3 linked regions of the Callithrix jacchus genome follow. The protein of the gene in region 3 purifies or fractionates together with the protein of the main gene of each other region. This does not show direct contact. Links are inferred from orthologs where the notes say so. Each region holds a gene or a part of one and is shown on either strand. Other genes may lie near its edges.

Region 1 (8,023 bases), on a different chromosome or scaffold from region 3:
CGCCTGTAATCCTAGCACTTTGGGAGGCTAAGGCAGGCCTCCCAAAGGTCAGGAGTTCGAGATCACTCTGACCAATATGGAGAAACTCTTTCTCCACTAAAAATACAAAATTAGCCAGATGTGGTGGCACATGCCTATAATCCCAGCTACTGAGGAGGCTGAGGCAGGAGAATTGTTTGAACCTGGGAGGCGGAGGTTGCTGTGAGCTGAGATCTCACCATTGCACTCTAGCCTGGGCAACAAGAGTGAAACTCCGTCTCAAAAAAAAAAAATGTGTAGGGGAGGGAAGCTGGGTATAAATCTTAGTTCACTGCCTTGCTGGATGTTTTTTAATTAATTGCCCAAGGAGAAAGTCTACATTTCTTACTGAAGCTTTAAAAGTTTGCCCTGGATCTAGCCTCAAACTTCACCAGCCTATTCCCACACTCCACTTTAAAATATTTCTGAGCTATACATTCCTTGAGTTCGCCAAGTTCTCTCCTCCTAGGGGTCCTGACCCATGCAGTTCCCTCTGCCTGGAACATGGCCACCCTTTTTCCTTGCTAATTCTTCAGGTCTCAGCAGAGATTTTTCACTTCCTAGTGGCGTCTATAAGTCATATATGAAAACCTGTAATCACGATTTTTTTTATCATGTCAGAGGAGATTTCAGTGCTATATAATCACGATTTCATAAAAAAAGTGGACAATGATTGTGCTATATAATCACAATTTCATACAAAAACTGGAATGGTGATTATGTATGATTTGTTATGGAGGCCAGAACAAGAATGAGAGGCATGAAAGTTTTCCGAGGCTGGCCACAATGGCTCATGCCTGTATTCCTAGCACTTGACAGGCCGGCTGAGGCGGGAGATTGCTTGAGCCCAGGAATTCAAGACCAACCTGGCCAACAGGGTGAAACCCCATCTCTACTAAAAGTACAAAAATTAGCCAGGCATGGTGGCTCACGCCTGTAATCTCAGCTACTCAGGAGGCTGAGGCAGGAGAATCACTTGAACCTGGGAGGTACAGGTTGCAGTGATCCAAGATGGTGCCACTGCAGTCCAGCCTGGGTAAGAGGGTGAGACACTGTCTCAAAAAAAAAAAAAAAAAAAAAAAAAAAGTTTTCTGAAAAAGCACAATATAAAGGAGTAGAATTTTTTTTTTTTAAGGCGGGGTTTCACCATGTTGGTCCGGCTGGTCTTGAACTCCCGACCTCAGGTGATCCACCCGACTTGGCCTCCAAAATGCTTGGATTACAGGCGTGAGCCACTACGCCCCGCCCAGAGTAGAATTTTTATTCCTGTTACAATAATTGTACCCATACCTCCAATACCAGGAAGTTTATGTTTCTTGGAGGGCAAGGAAATACTTTTGAACTTTATTCAGGTTAAGCTGCGCCAAGACTGGTCCTTTGCCTCCCTCTGGACTAGAAAAAGGTCAACCTGTTTCTCATACAGGAAGCAAGGCTCCAAAATTTCTACAGTGAGGGGTGGGTGGGTTACCAATTACCTACAGCAATTGGCCGTAGCAGGGCTTGAAAATGCATTGGCATAGTCCTTTACATAGATTAAGAAAATGACTGTTTTTTTTTTTTTTTTTTAAGACCAGGTTTTGCTCTTGTTATCCAGGCTGGAGTGCAATGGCGTAATCTTGGCTCACCGCAACCTCCGCCTCCTGGGTTCAGGCAATTTTCCTGCCTCAGCTTCCTGAGTAGCTGGGATTACAGGCACGCCTTACCGCGCTCAGCTAATTTTTTGTATTTTTAGTAGAGACGGGATTTCCCCATGTTGACCAGGATGGTCTCCATCTCTTGACCTCGTGACCCACCCGCCTAGGCCTCCCAAAATGCTGGGATTACCAGCGTGAGCCACCGTGCCCGTCCGTTTTTTTTTTTTTTTTTTTAAAGACAGGGTTTCACTATGTTGGTCAGGCTGGTCTTGAATTCCTGACCTCAGGTGATCCGCCCGCCTTGGCCTCCAAAGTGCTTGAATTACAGGCGTGAGCCACTACGCCCGGCCGAAAATGACTGTTTTGTGTATCAGATGGACATTAAAGGGCAGGGGTGCAAAACCCCTCCTCCAAGCCCCTTTTTGTCACTGTTTGCTCCTCCTCATTCCTGCCTTTTGCCTGGCTTTCTGGGAGAGATGGCAAAAAGGGAGAAGGGGAAGTGTCTTGATTTCATAGAATGATGGATGACAAAGGGAGAACTACTATTTATTAAAGAGCTAGTATATGCCATGCACATATACATGTTATCACATTTAAACCTTCTAACTTTGAGGTAGGTATTATTATCCAATATAGTATAGCAGTAAATAGCACCATCCTTGGAAATAGGCAGACTGTTTTTGCTAGTTGTGCAAGCGTGGACAAGTTTAGTCTAAAACTTAGTTTCTGTAAAAGGAGGACATTGATTCCTACCTCAAAGGGCTGTTACATAGGTGCTCAAGAAGTGACAATATAAATGCCTATGAAGAAACAGGATCAGGTAATTTGCTTGCTCAAGGTCATGTAATTTAGTAAGCTGACCTGAAATTCTGATTCCGGCTTATCTAACTCCACAGCCAATGTTCTTTCCACTCACTCTGTAGTTATAATCTTTTTTTTTTTTTTTTTGAGACGGAGACTCGCTCTGTTTCCTAGGCTGGAGTGGCAGAGGAACTATCTTGGCTCACTGCAACCTCCACCTCCCAGGTTCAAGCAATCTGCCTGCCTCAGTACTCCGCGTAGCTGGGATTACAGGCACGCGCCACCACGCCTAGCTAATTTTTGTATTTTTAGTAGAGACGGGCTTTTGCCATGTTGGCCAGTCTGGTCTTGAACTCCTGACCGCTGATGATCTACACCTCCCCTTGGCCTCCCAAAGTGCTGGGATTACAGGCGTGAGCCACCGCGCCCGGCCGTTATAATCATGTTGACCAAGTTTCGTTAAGTCCTCTGAGGCTCTGATTCCTCATATGCAAAATGGGGATAATATAAATTATTTAATAAAATTCATTCATTGAACTCTTGTGTTCAAGGAGTGCATATAATGGAGACTGCAGTTCCTTCCTCTTTCCCCTTTTCATTCCATGTAGGTCATTTATCCTTAACTTCTAAAATAGACTCTACAGGCACTTAACCGAGCGGACGCAGCTATACAAATATTATTTTTCAGATTCCCCTTTATTTCCTCTTCTTTCCTAGTGCACCTAGGCTCCCGCCCCACCCAGCACCAGGCCACGCCCCGGCGTGTGACGGAAGCACGTTCCGTGCGTTGCGTCGCGTCGCTTACTGGGGGCCCGGCTTTCGCCCGCTGCTGCCGCCGCCGCCGCCGGCCGCGGCTGCACTCGCAAGATGGCGGCTCCTCCGGGCGAGTACTTCAGCGTTGGGAGCCAGGTGTCGTGCCGGACATGCCAGGAGCAGCGGCTGCAGGGCGAGGTGGTAGCCTTCGACTACCAGTCCAAAATGCTGGCTTTAAGTATCCTTCCCTGCGTGGAGCCCGAGGCCGGGCCGGCGTGTAGGTGCGGTGGTCGGCGGGTGGGGGACGACGGCGGCGGCCGGGGCTCTCTCCCGGCCTAGGGGCGACCGGCTACCGCGGCGCCCGGGGCGCATGCGCACGGCCTTGAGCTCCCCTCCCCCTCCCGCGGGCCCTTCGGTCAGCTTTGGGGACCCTGTCTCTCACCCCTTGCGGGAGCTGGGGCCTGACCAACGATCAGGGAGTGGAGGAGAGCATGACACGGGGATGGCTTTTAGCGGGGAACGTTATTAGGGGGGACACGGTGATTAGGAGTGGGTTGTAGTGGGAGGGGGCTGGTGGATTGGAGCCCGGATGGAAAGGAGGGGCGGGTAAAATGTTATGGGGAGGGGTGTGTAGGGTAAGGAACTGCTGGTAGGGCAAAGGTATGGAATTTAGGAGGGCATGTCCACTGATGGGATTTTGTCCAAGAAAGGCAGTGGGATGGTGACCAAATGGTCCTTGCCTGTTTTGGGGGAGAGTAAGCGCAGGGCAGAGTTTGTATCTGAACTGAGGATCGTGGTTTGTTTCGCTGATGAGTGGGTGTAGGGGGGGCTGTGCTGATTTTTAGGCTTCTCGGTCATTTGGAAATTGCTGTTAAGGGGATGTTTGCATTGGAAACCTGGTCCAGAGAGGGCTTGCCACGTTTTTCAGGGGCTTATGTGGGTTGGGGATGTGCGAATTACAGGTAAAAGAGTGAAGTTCTCATGCTCCCTTGCTCAGTCCAGCACATGGAGTCCTTACTTTTACGTAGTAGTAGCCTCCCTTTTGAAAGTAGCAATGTTAAACTGATTGGAAAGGGTGGCCTGCTTCTTTGGGGTGGAAATGATTTCTGAATTATTGCAGGAAACTCAGTTTTGGAAACGAAACACTTCCTTGTTGGAATAAATGTGCCACGGCTTCCCCTTTTATGTGAGCTACAGGTGGGTTTATTGCAATTTTTTTTTTTTTTTGAGGAGTAATTCATTATGGCTTTTTTTTTTTTTTTTTTTGAGACGGAGTCTTGCTCTGTCACCAGGTTGGAGTGCAGTGGTGCCATCGAGGCCCACTGCAACCTCCGACTCCCTGGTTCAAGAGATTCTCCTGCCTCAGCCTCCTGAGTAGCTGGGATTACTGGCACGAACCACCATGCCCAGCTAATTTTTGTATTTTTTCTTTTCAGTAGAGACGGAGTTTCACCATGTTGGCCAGGATGGTCTCTATCTCCTGACCTCGTGATCCGCCTGCCTCGGCCTCCCAAAGTGCTGGGATTACAGGTGTGAACCACCGCTCCCGACCCTTTGTGTGTGTGTGTGTGGGGGGGTGGGGCTGGACAAAGTTTTGCTCTTGTTGCTCAGGCTGGAGTGCAATGGCGCCATCTTGGCTCACCGCAACTTCTGCCTCCCGGGTTCAAGCGATTCTCTTGCCTCAGCCTCCTGAGTAGCTGGGATGACAGCCGTGAGCCACTGCGCCCTGCCATTGCATCTTTCAAAATGAAGTTTCCTACTGAGTCTGCTGCCTTTGAGTGGCAAGTATTTTAATTCATTTAACCATTGCTTGTAGATTTCTAGCTTGGGAAGATGTCCTTTGAAACTAATTACAGCAAGAATAGTTGCTTTTTTAAAAAATAAGAGGTTACACCTGGAACAAATAAGACCTTTTACATTAGTAGTTTAGTTGGAAGAGTCTTGGAACTAGGAATTACTCAGTTTTTAACTGACATGCAGTGGGCGCTTAAATGGTTAGGGAATGAGTGTGTGAATGAATGGATGGGATTAACTGGCTGGGTCACCTTAGGGGAATTTCCTTTCCAGTGCTGTAGATTTCTCCTCTGCAAAATGGGAACGCTCACATCTGAAAAAGTAAAAATACTGTGCAGATATAGAGAGTGTTATACGAAGAACAGAAATCTCTAGCTCTTTTGTCTGGTTCCTAGGTTCAAAACAAACGCATTAAATCTGCTCCATAAAACCAGTAGACAGAAGATGACAGAATTCCTTAGGAGGCTTCCAAGGGTTTGGGCAGGAGGAAGGTGACAGGCAGGGATTTCCTGAGGAGAGCTGTGATTCTTATAAGGCCCTCTTGCTTCTGGCATGCCTTTTAAAGCCTTGTGTGAATTGTGTTTTCTGTATCCCTTTTGGGATGTGTCAGTGCCTCTGCTTGTCCTATTTTTCCTTAACTTGTTTTTTCTTACCAGAATGTCCCTCTTCCAGTGGAAAGCCCAACCATGCAGATATCTTGCTTATAAACTTACAGTATGTTTCAGAAGTGGAAATAATTAATGACCGAACAGAAACCCCTCCTCCCCTAGCTTCACTCAATGTTAGTAAGGTAAGGACTCAAGGGCAAATCTGGCTCTCTAAAATCATGGGAAAGATGAGTCTCATTGATTCTTGGTGATACATTGTTGTCTATTTTTCATTTTTTTAATTGACTTAAAATTGCTTCCTCTGATATCTTTTTAAGAAATACATGTTTAGTTTTTCTCTTTATTCATGGATATTGTCAGTAGATCTTAAAAAATAAGCTTAACTCAAAAAAAAAAAAAGAAATAAGCTTAACTTTCAAAGAAGTTGAGAACTTGTTTTTGCCTTTATAAAAGAGGACTTTTTTTTTTTAACTTGAAGTTTTAATCTTGGAGTACGTGATGAAATTCTGGTGATGGTGGGGTTTGGGTGGTGGCGTTGCCTATGAACGTCCTCAAATTGTGTGTATGTGGATGTGTGCATACGTGAATATATGCGTTTTCTGTATGAAGATCCGAAATGTTTTTTAGATTCTCAGAGGGATTCATGACCTATAAAAGTTTGAAAGCCACTGTTTTAAAGGTTCTTTTTTCTCTTTATGTTTGAATTTTGAGTTCTAACAATTACATGCTTAGCATATTTTTTTTTTTTTTTTTTTGAGACGGAGTTTCGCTCTTGTTACCCAGGCTGGAGTGTAATGGCGCGATCTCGGCTCACTGCAACCTCCGCCTCCTGGGTTCAGGCAATTCTCCTGCCTCAGCCTCCCGAGTAGCTGGGATTACAGGCACACGCCACCATGCCCAGCTAATTTTTTGTATTTTTAATAGAGACAGGGTTTCACCATGTTGACCAGGATGGTCTCGATCTCTTGACCTCGTGATCTACCCGCCTCGGCCTCCCAAAGTGCTGGGATTACAAGCTTGAGCTACTGCGCCCGGCCTTTCATATTTTAATCTTGCACATACAAATTGATCTCTGGGAATCCCCAAGTCACTTTTGTGTATGTGTGAACAGGGCCTTGCTTTGTAGTCCAGGTTGAACTTGAATGCCTGGGCTCAAGTGATCCTCTTGCCTCAGCCTTCTGAGTAGCTGGGATTACAGGCGTGCACCACCATACCTGCCCAAGTTTTTTTTTTTTTTAGATAGAGTCTTGCTCTTGTTGCTCAGGTTGGAGTGCAGTGGCATAGTCTCAGCTCACCACAACCTCCATCTCCCGGATTCAAGCGACTCTCCTGCCTCAGCCTTCCAAGTAGCTGGGATTACAGGCATGAGCCACCACACCTGGCTACTGTTGTATTTTTAGTAGAGATGGGGTTTCTCCATGTTGGTCAGACTGTTCTTGAACTCCCTACCTCAGGCGATCCGCCCACCTCAGTGTCCCAAAGTGCTGAGATTACAGGTGTGAGCCACTGTGCCCAGCCTTTATTTATTTTTGAGAGAGTCTGTCTCTGTTGCCCAGGTCGTAGTGCAGTGGTGGGATCTCAGCTCATTGCAGGCTCCACCTCCTGGATTCAAGTGATTCTCATGCCTCAGCCTCTGGAGTAGCTGGAACTACAGGTGTGCGCCACCACACCTGGCCAATTTTTTTTTGAGATGGAGTTTCACTCTTGTTGTACAGGCTGGAGTGCAGTGGCACAGTCTTGGCTCACTGCAATCTCCACCTCCCGGGTTCAAGTGGTTCTCCTGCCTCAGGCCTCTCAAGTAGCTGGGACTACAGGCGTATGCAACCACACCTGGCTAATTTTTTTGCATTTTAGTAGAAACCGGGTTTCACTTTGTTGCCCAGGCTGGTCTTGAACTCCTGAGCTCAAGCAGTCTGCCTGCCTTGGCCTCCCAAAGTGCTAGGATTATAGGTGTGAGCCACTGTGCCTGGCACAATTTTTGTATTATTGGTAGAGACCAGGTTTCACCATGCTGGCCAGCCTGGTCTCAAACTCCTGACCTCAAGTGATCTGTCCACCTCGGCCTCTCAAAGTGCTGGTATTACAGATGTGAACTATTATGCCAGGCCCCAACTCATTTTTTTTTTGACAATTCAGTTTATTTGGTCAAAATTGATGTTGAACAGTAATAACGCCCAAGTTCTGTCATAGCCTGTGCTGTCCCTCGTACTTGGAACGTTTTTCCTTCCAAAATGACTGGAACGAAAAAGCCTTACCCATCAGGACTTTGTTAAATGGCACGTCTTCCAAGAAATCTTCTCTGATCACCTAAAGTAATGAGGTTAAAGTAATCTGCCAGCATTATTCTCTCTCATAGTACCTTGTCCTTCACAGTTAAGGTGACCATAATTTTTAGTCCAACCTGGGACATTTTCG
Region 2 (7,570 bases), on a different chromosome or scaffold from region 3:
CACCTGATGTGCTGATAAGGGATAGGTCAGGGCAGGCAGGAAGCAGGGGGAAGGATTCTGTGCGTTAAACTCTAGCAAAGACTTGGGTTAGTGTCACAGGAGCTGCGTGTGCCAGGCCGGTTCCTTGGTCAGTGTGTTTGCCACTGGAGTGGAGGAGTGCTTTGCTCTGGACAGATGGTATCCAGGCTTTGCTGTAGAGAATGGTGTGGAGGTAGTTTGTGGAAGAGTCACTTGAAAATCTGGGCTGGTGGCATTTGTCACCTTAGCTGTAACAGCCCTTTACACTTGTCAGAGCCCTTTTACTTCATCCGATCTGAGGAAAATGGAACTCCTGAGAAGGAAAAGGAAGCCAAGTTGGGACTCCCAGCACAGTGCTCTGCCACCCCAGATTGTGGCCTTAGCAGGAGCATGGAGAGGTATGCTACAGGCGTGGCAGGAGTGAGGCCAGAGGAAACCTGATCAGAGGCTGCACGTGACTCCAGATTAAAAAGGAACAACTGCAGAGATTATGACGGGCCCCAAGTTTTGTCCCCACTTTGTTCACTGTCTGAGGCCCAGAGTTTACTTGCTCAGGTTGCAACTGAGACCAGAGAATTGGACATGTTGAGAGGGACTAGCTGAGTTCTGTCTATGGCCATAGGAGCACAAAGAAGGTAGCTGAGTGTGGTCATTTTGGGGGATAGTATACCTCATTAGCTGTTGTCTGCCTTCTTGACTTCTTAGAGATAGCAGAAGCTATTGGTCAGTGTGTCTGCCAACACATACTTCTGCAGGACCTCTCTCTGCTATAAATAAGTGCAGCCAGATTTGTTAGACTAAGCCGGCTTGCCTTGTGCAGTGCTGTCTGGAAATAGATGAGGAGCTGTGTTGAAATGGGCTCCTTTAATGCTAATTAATGAAATAGTTTGCGATCCCAGCTGTGTATCTCTTCTTAGCCATCAAAAGCAAGCTCCTCTGTACCTGAACTGTTTTGTGACTTTGTTCTGTCTTGTCATCTCCCCTTTCCCCAACTACCCCCATACAGATGAGCCAATCTTCTGAAGTGGGTGGGAAAAGTTGTTGGAAATAATGAGTGAAAATAAATTCTTCTGGCTGATGCAACAGTTGAGCTTGTAGAGCGCCAGAGTTGGGGAATTTTGTCCCCCGATTTAAGTGAGATGCTGCCTTGAGGCAAGGAGCAGGTTGTCCTGCTCTGAGCCTGTCTAAATCCCCTCATGGAGGAGGTTCTGGGTGATGTCATTTTAAGTAGATGCCATAATAGCCTTAAGGAAAAGTGGCCACCAGATCTGGGCATCCTTGTTGCCATTAGGGATGAGAAGTGTTTTGGCTGGCAGGTGGCGATATATTTTAGCTTTTGTTTCTTTTTTTTTTCTTTCTTTTTTGAGATGGAGTTTCACTCTTGTCGCCTAGGCTGGAGTGCAATGGTGTGATCTGGACTCACTGCAACCTCCACCTCCTGGGCTCAAATGATTGTCTTGTTTCGGCCTCCTGAGTAGCTGGGATTACAAGCACCCGCCACCATGCCCAGCTAATTTTGTATTTTTATTAGAGACGGGTTTCCTCCATGTTGTTCAGGATGGTCTTGAACTCGACCTCAGGTGATCTGCCTGCCTCCCAAAGTGCTGGGATTAGAGGCATAAGCCTCCATGCCCGGCCTAGCTTTTGGTTCTTTAAATGTTCTCTGTGGCGCACACGTAGACTTGGTTGGGAAGCTGAGGAAGCATTCCAAGGCACTGCATGGGGAAATAGGTTGGGCACGTGGGGTAGCCAAACTCCTAGAATTCTACAGAACTCCAATTAAGGCTTCAGAAGGCCTGGAAACGAGTAGGTGTGGGGCCTACTACCTGCGCACTGTCTGCTTAGGCAGAAGATATCATGGTTTAATCCTTGTGGTGATAGTGCAGATAACTTTTCCATGTATGACCAGTTGTATCCATTTTGATGATTGATGCTTTTTTGTTTAATTTTTGTTCTCAGAAATTGAAATAAAAGAAACTGGACTGAATTCAGGGATAGCACTTTTTTTCTCCAGATCATTTGCTCCTGGATTGCAGACTAAATGACTTGATAACTTTGATAATCTGGTATTAGTTTCCTAATCACTAGCTAGCTGCAAAGCTTAGTTACCTAAACTTAAGTTTGTTCATTTTGTAAAATGTGTAATTTCAGCTGTCCCACCTGAGTCATGGTGGGTGGTAGTCTGCAAAGTCTCTTCTAAATGGTAAAGCTTGGTCAAATGTGAGGTATTATCATTGGATCTTGGTGTCATTAAGGCCACTTAGATTGTCTTCACTTATGACCCCTTTATCCAACAAGGGCACAGACCCAGAGGGGTGTTCAGACTTCTGTCATGAAGTAGAGTCATTAACTGGAACTTACTCTGCCCTTAGTAACAGTGCAGGCTGGAGGAATCTGATGCCCTTTTATTTTAATAGAGTTGCCTTTTATCAAGGGTGATTACCTTGAAAAGTCCTGGAGTAATCTGTTCTTAGGATGTTGGCCTGTGGGAGCTGCCGTTTTCCATCCCTATTGAAATGTGTTTCTCTCTTACAGCTGAGCGGGCTTTGGACACCATGAACTTTGATGTGATTAAGGGAAAGCCAATCCGCATCATGTGGTCTCAGAGGGATCCCTCTTTGAGAAAATCTGGTGTGGGAAACGTCTTCATCAAGAACCTGGACAAATCTATAGATAACAAGGCACTTTATGATACTTTTTCTGCTTTTGGAAACATTCTATCCTGCAAGGTAAACAGTGATTAAATGATTTTAGCAGAATAATTAATTGAATCTTGAAAACAAGATAAATAACCAAATGGAGAACTACCTGGGAAGTGGGCATCAGGGTATGGGGATTTTCAGAATGCTGGGAATAGACCCCTAAAAGTTCCCATGGATAATCTCAGGGGCACACCCAGCATAACCAGCACGTGCTTTTGTGCACTGTTCTTTCCTCAGCCTGAAATAGCCTTCCTGTTTTTAAGCTTTGGAAAGCCCCAGAAGGTTTTTCTTTTGGGTTGGGGGAAAGGAGCAGATCAGAGAAGTGTCTCTGGTCTTCAGTAAACTTAATCCCTTTAGAAGCATACATTCACTCTCTTCCTTCTACACATCAGTTTTATGCTGAGCACTTTAAAACTTACACAGTGGTGGTGTATGTGTCTAATGCCACACTACACTGAAAATCTGTTGTGGACTTGGAAAATGGTTTGTCTTCTTGCAGCACTGTGTTTTGCGTAAGGTACAAGATACCCTGAGGTTCTCATGTCCCTGGAGCTGGCCAGTGGTGCTAAAGTGGTCCACCTTGTCTTTGACAGGTGGTGTGTGATGAGAACGGCTCGAAGGGTTATGCCTTTGTCCACTTCGAGACCCAAGAGGCTGCCGACAAGGCCATCGAGAAGATGAATGGCATGCTCCTCAATGACCGCAAAGTGTGAGTGTCCCAGTCCGGAGCAACAACCATCGCATGAGCCAGCCGTGGCCCCACCTCGGTATTAACTGGCACACACAAGGCGGCTACTGGTTCTCGGCCCAAGTGTGGCCTGCTCCTACCTCTCCACTCCAGGGCTGGTGAGTCTCCCTGCCTGAGCCGTGGCAGCCCTTTTGACTCGCCAAGGTGGGCTTCCTGCCCAAGCCATGGCCTGCCTGCCGCCTCTCCCTTAAAGGCATCTGTCTGTGGGTTTTGTGAGCATCAGCAACTGGGGCTGGCTGGAAGGCAGCTCTAAGCTCACTCTGAGTGGGGGTCTTGGCCAGCGGCAGAGTGGAGAGGGCCCTGGACTGACCAGGAGCTGTATACTAGCAGTGTGACCTTGGCTTTCCTGTGACTCAGGTCTGTCCATGGGTCCCCCGCTAGTGGTTGATGCCAAATTGTCCCCGTGGTTCTCCATTTTCTAACTTATGAATCAGTGACCTAGTAGAAGGCTGGCTCCACAGTAGTACTTGGTGACAATGAAAAATCCTATCCCTTGGCAGAAAAACTTCATAATAGACCTTGTTGCTTTGTTGTGGTTGTTACTATAGAATGCAGAGAGGGGGAACTTAGCAAAGTCATGTGGGGAGGAGAAGAGACAGTAAGTCTTGGCTGTTAGAAGCAAAAATGATTTTTGTCCTTTGTCTCATTGAACATACCAAAGGGTAGGTTAAATTTATAATGTCTATCCAGTGGTTGATCTACAGATACCACTAAAAAGAAATTAAAAAATGTCAGTGTATGGATAAGTTTTTTTTTTTTTTTTTTAAGTATAACAGTACCAAAATGAATAAATTTAAAAAGCAAAGGGTGCCCCTTCGCTCCAACAATCTCATGCCTAGGATTGACCACTGTTAACAGTTTGGTTTGTATCCTTCCAGACCTTTTCTATGCATTTACATAGTTGCACAGAAATGAGCGTTTTAAAAACATGGTCATCAGGTTTCTTCATGAAGGCAGTGTGATGTGGTAGGAGTAGCCCTGGTCTAAGCCAGGAGCCCTGGGGCTGGTCTTCACAGGATAGTCCTGCCTTTTTCTCTTTCTGCTGGGGACTTGGGGTGTCTCTGAGCCTCCTCGGTGGTGGATGGGGATCTCGTGTTTTAACCTCTCCTCTCAGCCTTTATCCTGTATTCCTTTGGGTCCCTGGAAATCATGTTTTATTCCTTTGGATGATTGCTGTTCTTCATGGTTTCTTTTAGATTTGTGGGCAGATTCAAGTCTCGCAAAGAGCGGGAAGCCGAGCTTGGAGCCAAAGCCAAGGAATTCACCAATGTTTATATCAAAAACTTCGGGGAAGAGGTGGATGATGAGAGTCTGAAAGAGCTATTCATTCAGTTTGGTAAGTTGGGGGTCCTCATCCCCTTTCACAGTTCACCAGACCCATCTGTTCTTAAGAGATGAGGACACTGCTCCAGAGATTTGCTTCCAGTGAGTTTCTAGAGGGAAGCCTTCTCTCTAGCTATGCTAGAAATGGTGTTACTAATAGTTCTGTCCTTTGGTGATAGGTAAGACCCTGAGTGTCAAGGTGATGAGAGATCCCAACGGGAAATCCAAAGGCTTTGGCTTTGTGAGTTACGAAAAACACGAGGATGCCAATAAGGTGAGTGCACCACAAAGGCTGGAAAAGCTTGTAAGAGGTGGCCTCAGAGTACGGGTAGGGTCTTGCTATCATCTAGCTGGAGCAGGGATGGTCTGAGTATCTAGTTGTAGATGTATCATTACTGTACTCTGGGATCATCTTCCTGGGTTCCACATGTTAACGTATCGTGTAGGTGTTTACAAAGCACTTGGCACATACCTGTCACCTCAGCTATCAGTTATGGAAAGAATAGGACAGATGTTTGTTCCCTGCATAGGTGAGAGAACTAAAGCCCAGGGAGTGCTGATTTGATAACAGCACAGCAGCTACTTGCTGGCAAAGCATTGTGCCAGACCCTTAGCATTTATCACTTCAATACCTACATAAGCACCTGCAGAATTTACTGGTAGCCAGAAGATTATCACCCTAGGTTCATGTCACCACAATTGTGTTTATACACCTGTACTATTTCTATATTATCTAGATCAATAACCCATTTAAATATTAACCTCACTTTACAGATGAGGAAGTTTGGATTTGTGTGACAGGTGGAATGAATTTAGTTTTCAGTCCTAAGTTGGGACTTAGACCTTTAGAATAAGGCCCCATCTCTGCAACTTGATTTTAAAGACATATTTTTCCTCTCTAGGCTGTGGAAGAGATGAATGGAAAAGAAATAAGTGGGAAAATCATATTTGTAGGCCGTGCACAAAAGAAAGTAGAACGGCAGGCAGAGTTAAAACGGAAATTTGAGCAGTTGAAACAGGAAAGAATTAGTCGATACCAGGTAAGGTGGTCTTGGCCCAGCCCAGCAATGGGATTTGCCGTGAAATGTTTGCAGAATACCCTTACGATTAGCAGGCTTTGTTTTTTGGGACTTGGAGTCTGTTCTTCCTTCCATTTCCCCCAAGAATATCAGGCTTAAAAGGATATATACCTACCACAATGGGACTGATTATTATAGAACCAGAGACAAGAGAAATGAGGTTATTCATCAAGAAGTTCTCTATTCTGGAAGCCTCAGCCTGTTGCTTTTAGCCATGTAGGTTCCTTTTACTTAAATGAGACTCCTTTGTTTGGCATGGCTTCAAGAAGACCCCTGCTGGGGTGAAGCGGTCACGAGCAGCTGTGGGGAGAAGTGACAAAAGGTGACTGCACTGATGATCCTGTCAATTTCAGGGCAGCAGTTTCACAACTTGGGGCTGGCATCAGAAATCATCAGCAGAGCTCGTTAAAACAGATAGCTGGGCTCTAGCCCCAGAGTTTCCTATTCACGGGGTTTGGGGTCTGGCCTGCGAATTTCATTTCTAACAAGTTCCCACAGATGCTGGTGCTCCTGGTCTGGGGGCCACCCTTTGGGAACCACTTTCTTAGGGAATATTTGTGGTATAGAAGTGCAGTTAACAGTCATCTTTTTCCTTCAGGGGGTGAATCTCTACATTAAGAACTTGGATGATACTATTGATGATGAGAAATTAAGGAAAGAGTTTTCTCCTTTCGGATCAATTACCAGTGCTAAGGTATTACAATACTTAGATTTGGGGATCGAAAGCAGTAGTATTCTATTAGAGGCTTATTGGCATTTGTTCCATTGAAGGAATAGAATTTAAATTTTGTTTATTTTTCTAGCAAATTCCTCCTTGCCTTCAGTTACCCATCAGAGTATACATTCTGGGAGAATGGCATTTCATTAGATTAACATTACACTGTTTCCCAAACACTGGAGTCTGCAGAGGAATTTGGCCCAGCCCCTCCCTGCCAACCCAGAGCACCTGAATCTTTCCCATTCCTTGCTGCTTCGTGCCGGTGTGGGGACAGATGGTGCTACAGTATGAGCAGAGGAAATCCAGACAGGTTGTTTTCCATTTGTCTTGGGGCCTGTCTCTACAGCTCTGCCACATTTTCTCCTTGAGAATTAAGGTATTTTGAAGATTTTGGAGGTGGGCTTGGGAACTGCTACCCTGGTCTTATAGAGAGAGGAAAGGAGTGTGGCAGGTTGTTTTTCCATGTTTCTTAGTGTGCATCATTTGCTTGATTTTCTCTGATAATCATATCAACTAAGCAGGGCAAGTAGGAGACTTATTTTACAGTTACGGAATTTTAGTCCTTGAACAAGAGAATGCTGACTATATGAGGATGATGTACAGCTTATCCTTGGCACTTTGCGAGCAGGATGAAAACTGGTGGCATCGGAACATTTTGGGTTATGGCCTGATACAGACTCTGGTCTTGCTCAGCAGAGGTGTGTCAGATACCACAAAGTCCTTTAGTTGATGGGAAGGGAAGCCATGTGGGCTGGTAAAGGCTTAGTGGCCCTGCCCTGCCTCTTAGTGGGAGTTGCTCCCAACCTGGGAATGTTGTGCAAAGCAGTGTTATCAGTTGTAGTAGGGAGTTGGCCAGAAGCCAACTGCGGGTTTGCCCAGTTCCTTACCCTTTCCTTTTTGTAATTGATCCGTTTGACTGGCCCCCATGGGTGTAAGGAGGGATAGTCTCTCTTCGCTTATCTGCCTAGTAGTCAAGTTGGCA
Region 3 (8,027 bases):
CTTCTAAAAATACAAAAATTAGCTGGGCGTGGGGGCGTGCGCCTGTAGTCCTCCCTACTCGGGAGGCTGAGGCGGAAGAATCACTTGAACCTGGGAGGTGGAGACTGCACTGAGCCAAGATCGTGCCACTGCACTCCAGCCTGAAGTCAGAGTGAGATCGCAACTCAAAAAAAAAAAAAAAAAAGTTCATTGCATCACTATCTATAATAACAAAAAAGTGTAAACCCAAATCACAACAATAGAATGGTTAGGTAAAAACCCTAAATTTTTTTTTAATACTGGCCAGGCCAAGTGGTTCATGCTTATAATCCCAGCACTTTGGAAGGCCCAGGCAGGTGGATCATCTGAGGTCAGGAGTTCGAGACCAGCCTGGCCAACATGGTGAAACCCTGTCTCTACTAAAAATACAAAAATTAGCTAGGTGTGGTGGCACATTCCTGTAATCCCAGCTACTCAGGAGGCTGATGGGGAGAATCCCTTGAACCGGGGAGACAGAGGTTGTAATGAGCTGAGATCATACCACTGTACTCCAGACTGGGCAACAGAGTGAGACTCTGACTCAAAAAAAAAAAAAAAAGTATAATATAACGTTCAGGGAAAAAGGCTAACTACAAAATAACATACATACTACTACTACTATTACTACTACTACTATATAACAATGAAAAGGTTAAAAAGCAAAAGTAAGAATTAGACTGATGGTCGGACACAGTGGCTCACACCTATAATCCTGGCACTTTGGGAGGCTGAGGCTGGGGGACCACTTGAGGCCTGGCCAGCCTGGCTAACATGGTGCAACCCCGTCCCTACTAAAAATACAAAAATTGGCCAAGGGCCAAAGCTCATGCCTGTAATCCCAGCACTTTGGGAGGTCAAGGCAGGCGGATCACTTGAAGTCAGGAGTTGGAGACTAGTCAGGCCAACATGGCAAAACCCCATCCTCACTAAAAATACAAAAAAATTGGCTGGATGTGGTAGCAGGCACCTGTAATCCCAGGTACTTGGGAGGCTGAGACAGGAGTATCTCTTGAACCCAGGAGGCAGAGACTGCAGTGAGCTGAGATCAGGCCTGTACTTCAGCCTGGGTGACAGAGTAAGACTCCGTCTCAAAAAAAAAAAAAGAATTAGATCCAAGTAAAAATATGTTCTAATATTGTGACTACATTGTCTTCCCCAAAACAGTCACCTTCAAAAATGTGTACAACAATTAAAGACAGAATAAATCCCTTCTGAAAGTCATGAAAAGCTATTCACACACACATACAAAAAAAAAAAAAACAGAAGTCAAAATATGTTTCTTAAAGCAGATGTATTTCCAGACTTTCAAGAATATTTTGCTATCTCAAAACTTGTCAAACCCAACGCTGCATTTTCTTATTTCACCCTTGCTCTCAGAAACTTATTTTCATTGCTGATACACAAACCAAAGTGAGGCGATTCCAGAAGTTGAAACTTATTTACAAGGAAAGCAGTAAAGTGATTCAAAATTCAAAGTAATTCTACAAGTACATTAACAATCTGCACAAGAATAAATTTCACATTATACAAATCCAACACAGTAAATAAAATTTCACCTATTCATCAAAAAGAATAAAGGCTACCATTTAGGTCTCGAGTAAAAGAATGTAAAGCAAGGAAAAAAATCTAAATTAATCTTAAATTGTTGTAAAGCCTCAAGGAACAGAAAAAGGCCTTGTGGAACTAAAACATTCCAAGTATCTCTCATCACTCAAGCTATTCTGAAGCAAATTCTGCTATAATCTAATTTTTAAGCCTAAGAGTCAATGCAATTTAAAATCCTTAGTTTTAATTTGTATGTATTTGAACAAGTTGAAAATATCTGCCAAATCTCCTTCTAATACCTAAGAAAATAAAAACAATGCATCATTTTCTATAAAAATTGTACTTAAAATTTTTTCATTCCTCACTAGATGCCAACAAAAAAGGGAAAGTGAAGTTACTCTATGAGGGGAAATGATCACTTCACCTGAACTAGTTTGGCTAAGTAGTGGCTGGGATGCTTCAGACTCAGAGAAGTTGGGGGGGGGGGCGGGGCGGGGACGGGACGAGGCTTGTAAGTCAAATAACCGAAGACTATTTCAGCCCCTGGCCCCATTGAAGGCAAGAGAATTCCTTAAAAACCAGCTGATACCTCTTGATGGGGAACTTAAGCTGTAAATAAAAATTATTTAGAAATGGATTGCTGAAAATGTGTGTTCAAAAAGAAAACTCAGGTGCGTGAAAAATCCTCTTATCCCACCTTCCAAAACCCAAGATGTCTAAGGAGGACGCCAGTCATTGGCCCTGCCAAGCCGGCGGCCTAGGCCTAAGGGAGGCACAGTAGCGCCTGCAACACGGATAGACTTGGGGCACAGGGGAAATGGACTTGCGTGCCCTTGGTAAGCTCTGGCGGCACTCCCGAAGTTAAGGACACCGGCCACAATGGAATGGAGTCTATTGACATTTGCTTCTCCGTTTGAACACTAAGCATTTTCTTAGTTCGTGAAATACGAACTGACAATCACCACCCCCCGCCACCCTCAATAGGACCTCCTGCACGAACACACTCTCCAGAGTCAAAACCAGTTAGCCAGGACAACACTGATCCCTCGCCCCGTCTCTATCACAACCCCGGCTTAGGTGGGAAAAAGACACCAATAAACATTTCTGCGTTCAGAAACCACACCACGTCCCCTTCTGCAATCTCTCTCTCCTAGCATTTCCGAAATTGGGGCGGGGATTGGGAAAAGTGCGCAGGGCACCCGCTCCCTGCCACCAGCACCGCCGCCCCGGATCTCCCGGATCCAGCCTGGGTCCGGCCCTCGCCCACCACTGTTCACAGGCGCCTTCTCCACCGCAGCCTCGGAACAGCAATGCGGATCGGCCACCACCCGCGCGCCGGACAGGCCAGGCGGGGGAAGAATGGAGGCCGGGCACTCCCCACCCCTTCCCTTCCTTAGGAGGGGTAAGGCGGAACGCTGCAGGAGGCTGCACGGAGCCCCAAGATTCCACGGGAGTTCGGGAGCCCCCGCCGCAGCCTCGGAATCAAACGGGGAGGGGTGCGGGGGCCAAGGCCCACCTGTCTCCACCCAGTCTTCCGATCTTTCCCAGGACTGGGAGGGGGCGGGGAGAGGAGCCCCGATAGACCCTGATGATTCCGGAGGAGCCCAGTGCCTACCCCTTTAACGCGCACGGGGGACGCGGCCCTAACTTCTCCCCTTCTGAGATGTCCCCCACGATGGGGGAACGACATGTTCCGGAAAACGACACCAAAGCCTCCAGACCCCTCCAACGTTCACACCTAAACTGGGGGTGGGACGCTGCCCAAGCATACCCCTGCTGCGGGAGGAGGGGGCGTGCGAAAGGGGGAGCCAGGGGTGACCACAGCCGCGACCCGAGAACTCCTCCCAACACGCGTGGGGAGGGGAGGCCGCTGGCTCCCTCCATCTTGACCGCTGGGGGAGGGGGCGGGGATGCTGCGGGAGGCTGGACAGGCCTGACAATCCCAGAAGACCCCCGCGGCGCCCCCCAGCCGAGCCTCGGGACTCTGGCCCGGGCGAGTCCCCCACACGCCGCCAGCCCCCAGCCCACCTCGGGCAGCCCTGCCGGTCATGGGGCGGGGACCGCCGCGCGAGCCGCGGGGGAAGGGACACCGGGCCCAGAGCAGAGGGGGCTGGGGTGCCGACACCCACCTGCCCAGGCCGGGCCTCCCGCTGCCAGCGGTCGCCACGGCCGCCGAGGAAGAGGGAGCCGTGGCCGAGGACGAGGAGACAGAGGACGAGGACGGCGAAGGCACGACGGCGGGCGACGCGAGAAGGCCGCTGCCGCCGGGCTTGCGGACATTGGCGGCCGCAGGCGGCTGCGGCTGCTGCTGCTGCTGCTGCTGCTGCTGTTGCTGCTGCTGCTGGGGCTTCAGCGACATGGTGAGGGGCCCATACACCGGCTCGCACGCCGGGCGGGGACAGTCGGGAGCCGGGCGCGCCGAGGAGTCGCCGGAGCGCAGCGGGGACGCGAGAGTGCCGAGCGGGGAGGCGCGGGTTGGCGCGGCCGGGGGGGCGCCCGGGCTGACGAGGGGGAAAAGGAGGACGAAGAAGGGGCGGGGAGGCCCGCCGAGACCGAGGAACCGCCGGAAGCCGGACCGGGATGCGCCGCCGTTGCCGTTGCTACCAAAACAGTCTGAGGCGGAGAGAGGCGAGCGCTGCGGGGAGGGAGGGGGGCCAGGGCCGGGCGGGGGAGGGGCGGCGGAGGGATACGGGCCCGGTACCTCGCCACCGCCGCCCCGCCCGCTTCGCCGTGCCGGCCGCGGGAGCGAGCGCCCCCCGGGCCACCTAGCTGCGGCGAAACGGCGAGGCTCGGTGGCTGCCGCGGAACTCTGAGGAGGTGCGGCCGCTGAGCGCATCGGAGGCTGAGTGCGCCGAGGCGCCGGGTGGGCACGGGGATGCCGGATTGGGACTCTTTACCGGAAGTCGGAGGAGTCGGGCGGAAGCAAATCGTTAGGCGGACCCGGGACCGGGAGGGACACGTGAAGAGCGGGCGCACCGCTGGTCCGCGTTAGCGGGGGTCGGGTGAGGGCCAGGCGGCAGGCCCTTCCCAGGTCCGCCCTCTCGAGGCGGGTCTGCCCTTCGGGGAGGGCGTGTCGGTCTTAGCCTCTGGGGCCTGCCTGGTGTGGAGAACGGCAGGGAAGCATTTTTTCCCCCAGTGTATTCCTTCAACGTCCTCACACTCCTGCAGGGACCTCGTTTGCCCCCACCTGATGCAACCCAGAAAATGAACTGCGAGTTCTTTGGAGTGGAGAATTTATCTTTCTACGTGTAAAGCACCTACAACCCTGCCAGATTCAGGGGGCACACCATCCCGCCGTTTTCCTGCCGGGCACACACTAGGCTCTCCAGTGCCTCTGGGAACCTTCCAGGCAGGCCGCGCTATGCTGTCCTGCTGAGGCTGGAGTGGAGAAACCCTCCGGGGCCACCCACATCTGGGTACCTTTTCCCCACTTTTTTCATCCCAGCCTCGAAAACTCTTCTAGGTATCTGACCTTCATCTGAACTTTTTCCTCATTCACGAGATTCTGAAGGAAATATACGGGACTGAGACTGGTAGAGCTGAGAATAAGCAGACCTCACAAGAACGTGCGAACTTTAGACCTTGTACCCTTTATAAGTTTTAATTTAACTTAGCCAGCCAGCAGAGTAGACCCTTTATAAAATGTGTTGCAAGTAAACTGGAAGCAAGTAGATAACTTTTTTTATCTTGAGCAGCCAATCTAGTGTTTTTGAGTGAAATGACTTCAGGAAATTAATAGAGGAAGAAACACCAAAATTCCCCTTCAATGTCCTAGAATTGTCCAGATAAAGACCTAGAAAAACATGGAGAATGATTAAACCAGCAGTTTTCAGTAGCCCAAATGAAATTAAACTCCTAGATAGTCCAGGCAAAAATGATCATTGTATTCTACCAATGTAGGAAATCAGTTTTATTTCCCATCTAAAGAGAGACTGTCGCAAAACTCTTTAACAATTAACCTAGCCTGGCCAACATGGTGAAAACCCATCTCTATTAAAAATACAAAAATTAGCCGGGGGTAGTGGGTGCCTGTAATCTTAGCTACTTCGGAGATTGAAGCGGGAGAATCGCTTGAACCCGGGAGGTAGAGGTTACGGTGAGCCGAGATTGTGCCGCTGCATTCCAGCCTGGGCGACAGATGGAGATGCCATCTCAAATAATATATATATATATATATATATATATTTTTTTTTTTTTTTTTTGAGACGGAGTTTCGCTCTTGTTACCCAGGCTGGAATGCAATGGCGCAATCTCGGCTCACCGCAACCTCCGCCTCCTGGGTTCAGGCAATTCTCCTGCCTCAGCCTCCTGAGTAGCTGGGATTACAGGCACGCGCCACCATGCCCAGCTAATTTTTTGTATTTTTAGTAGAGATGGGGTTTCACCGTGTTGACCAGGATGGTCTCGATCTCTCGTGATCCACCCGCCTCGGGCTCCCAAAGTGCTGGGATTACAGGCTTAAGCCACTGCGCCCGGCCAATAAAAATTAACCTAAGGAAATTGGTACTAAAAACCCAGTTGAGGAAACAAAACAAAAAAAAAAAATAGGATTTTTTTTTTTTTGAGATAGAGTCTTGCTCTGTCACCTAATCTAGAGTTCAGTGGCACAATTTCAGCTCACTGCAACCTTCGCCTCCAAGGTGCAAGCGATTGTTCTACCTCAGCCTCAGGAGTAGCTGGAATTACAGGCGTATGCCAATACACTCTGCTAATTTTTGTGTTTTTAGTAGAAATGGGGTTTCACCATGTTGGCCAGGCCGGTCTTGAACTCCTGACCTTGTGATCTACCAATCTCAGCCTCCCAAGGGCTGGGATTACAGGCATGAGCCACTGCGCCCCCAGCCTAAGGGCCTAAATAGAAATACATTCTCTTTTCTCTGTTAGGAATCCAAGTCCCAGAATACAATCTTAAGACCAACTTTCAGGCCACTGGAAAGAAAAATGGAAGTTGAATAAGAAGGCCTAGGCTGGGCACGGTGACCTACACCTGTAATCCCAGAACTTTGGGAAGCCAAGCGGGGCAGATCCTTTGAGCCAAGTAGTAGGAGGAGACAAGCCTGGGCAATATAGTGAGACCTCCCCCCATACAAAAAAAAAATTTTTTTTTTTTGAGATGGAGTTTCCCTCTTGTTACCCAGGCTGGAGTGCAATGGTGCGATCTCGGCTCACCGCAACCTCCACCTCCTGGGTTCAAGCAATTCTCCTGCCTCAGCCTCCCGAGTAGATAGGACTACAGGCATGCATCACCATGCCCAGCTAATTTTTGTATTTTTCTTAGTAGAGACGGGGTTTCACCATGTTGACCAGGATGGTCTCGATCTCTTGACCTTGTGATCCACCCACTTCGACCTCCCAAAGTGCTGGGATTATAGGCGTGAGCCACCGCGCCCAGCCAAAAAATTTATTTTTTGAGACAGAGTCTTGCTCTGCTGCCCAGGCTGGAGTGTGCAGTGGTGCCATCTTGGCTCACTGCAACCTCCGCCTCCCTGGTTCAAGCGATTCTCCTGCCTCAGCTGCCTCAGCCTCCCAAGTAGCTGAGACTACAGGCATGTGCCACCATGCCCAGCTAATTTTTAAAAGTTTTTAAAAATTAAAAATAAAAGAAGGCTTGAAGCAGATGTAGCTGAGAAAGGTTGTTTTGACCCCCTACCATTGAATAAAAACTTAACAATTTTATCAAGATATAATTTACATACTATGAAATCCACCTATTTTATGTACTTTTTTTTTTTTTTTTGACACAGATTCTTGCTCTGTCACCCAGACCGGAGTGCAGTCATGTGATCTTGGCTCACCACAACCTCCACCTCCCACGTTCAAGCAGTTCTCCTGCCTCAGCCTCCTGAGAAGCTGAGACTACAGGCACCTGCCACCACACCCAGCTATTTTTTTTTTTTTTTTTGTATTTTATAGTAGAGATGGGGTTTCACTATGTTGGTCAGGCTGGTCTTGAACTGCTGACCTCGTGATCCACCCTCCTCAGCCTCCCAAAGTGCTGGGATTACAGGTGTGAGCTACCATGCCATCCTATTTTGTGTAGTGTAATGATTCTCAGTCAATTGATACAGTTATACAGCCATTGCCACTAATTTCAGAACATTTCCATTACCCGGGAAGATCCTTCATGCCTATTGGCAGTTTGGTTCCCATCCTCAGCCCAAGGGAACCCCTAATCTATTTTTTCTCTCTATGGATTTGTCTCTTCTGGAGTTTTCATATAAGTAGAATCTTACAGCATGCAGCCTTTTGTGTCTGCCTTCTTTCATTTGTCATAATGTTTTTGAGGTTTCTCTAAGGTTGTGACATGTAGCAGTATTTCATTCCTTATTATTTCTACATCATATTCTACGGTACTCGTATTTTGTGTCTACTTGCCAGTGGGTGAATGTTTAGATTGTGTCAACTTTTTGACTATTATGAAAATGCCTCTGGGGCTGAGATTGGTGGCTCCTTTTTATAATCCT

What was found.
Region 1: the proteins of ATXN2 (region 3) and LSM12 purify together in Homo sapiens (affinity purification with mass spectrometry; 4 studies listed by BioGRID and IntAct, with this or other methods). This does not show direct contact. The link is inferred for Callithrix jacchus from reciprocal best matches to the Homo sapiens genes ATXN2 and LSM12.
Region 2: the proteins of ATXN2 (region 3) and PABPC4 purify together in Homo sapiens (affinity purification with mass spectrometry; 4 studies listed by BioGRID and IntAct, with this or other methods). This does not show direct contact. The link is inferred for Callithrix jacchus from reciprocal best matches to the Homo sapiens genes ATXN2 and PABPC4.

What each region holds. Positions count from the first base shown.
Region 1 is NC_133506.1:70,909,832-70,917,854, reverse strand, and holds the start of LSM12 (protein LSM12), read left to right. Parts: upstream 1-3,256; 5' UTR 3,257-3,320; coding exon 3,321-3,444; intron 3,445-5,656; coding exon 5,657-5,790; intron 5,791-8,023. UniProt on the Homo sapiens protein: Nicotinic acid adenine dinucleotide phosphate (NAADP) binding protein. Confers NAADP sensitivity to the two pore channel complex (TPCs) by acting as TPC accessory protein necessary for NAADP-evoked Ca(2+) release.
Region 2 is NC_133508.1:76,103,781-76,111,350, reverse strand, and holds part of PABPC4 (polyadenylate-binding protein 4), read left to right. Parts: intron 1-2,553; coding exon 2,554-2,747; intron 2,748-3,313; coding exon 3,314-3,429; intron 3,430-4,664; coding exon 4,665-4,804; intron 4,805-4,970; coding exon 4,971-5,065; intron 5,066-5,693; coding exon 5,694-5,831; intron 5,832-6,468; coding exon 6,469-6,564; intron 6,565-6,812; exon of another isoform or gene 6,813-6,947; intron 6,948-7,216; coding exon of another isoform or gene 7,217-7,286; intron 7,287-7,570.
Region 3 is NC_133510.1:114,459,155-114,467,181, forward strand, and holds the start of ATXN2 (ataxin-2), read right to left. Parts: upstream 4,179-8,027; 5' UTR 3,923-4,178; coding exon 3,693-3,922; intron 1-3,692. UniProt on the Homo sapiens protein: Involved in EGFR trafficking, acting as negative regulator of endocytic EGFR internalization at the plasma membrane.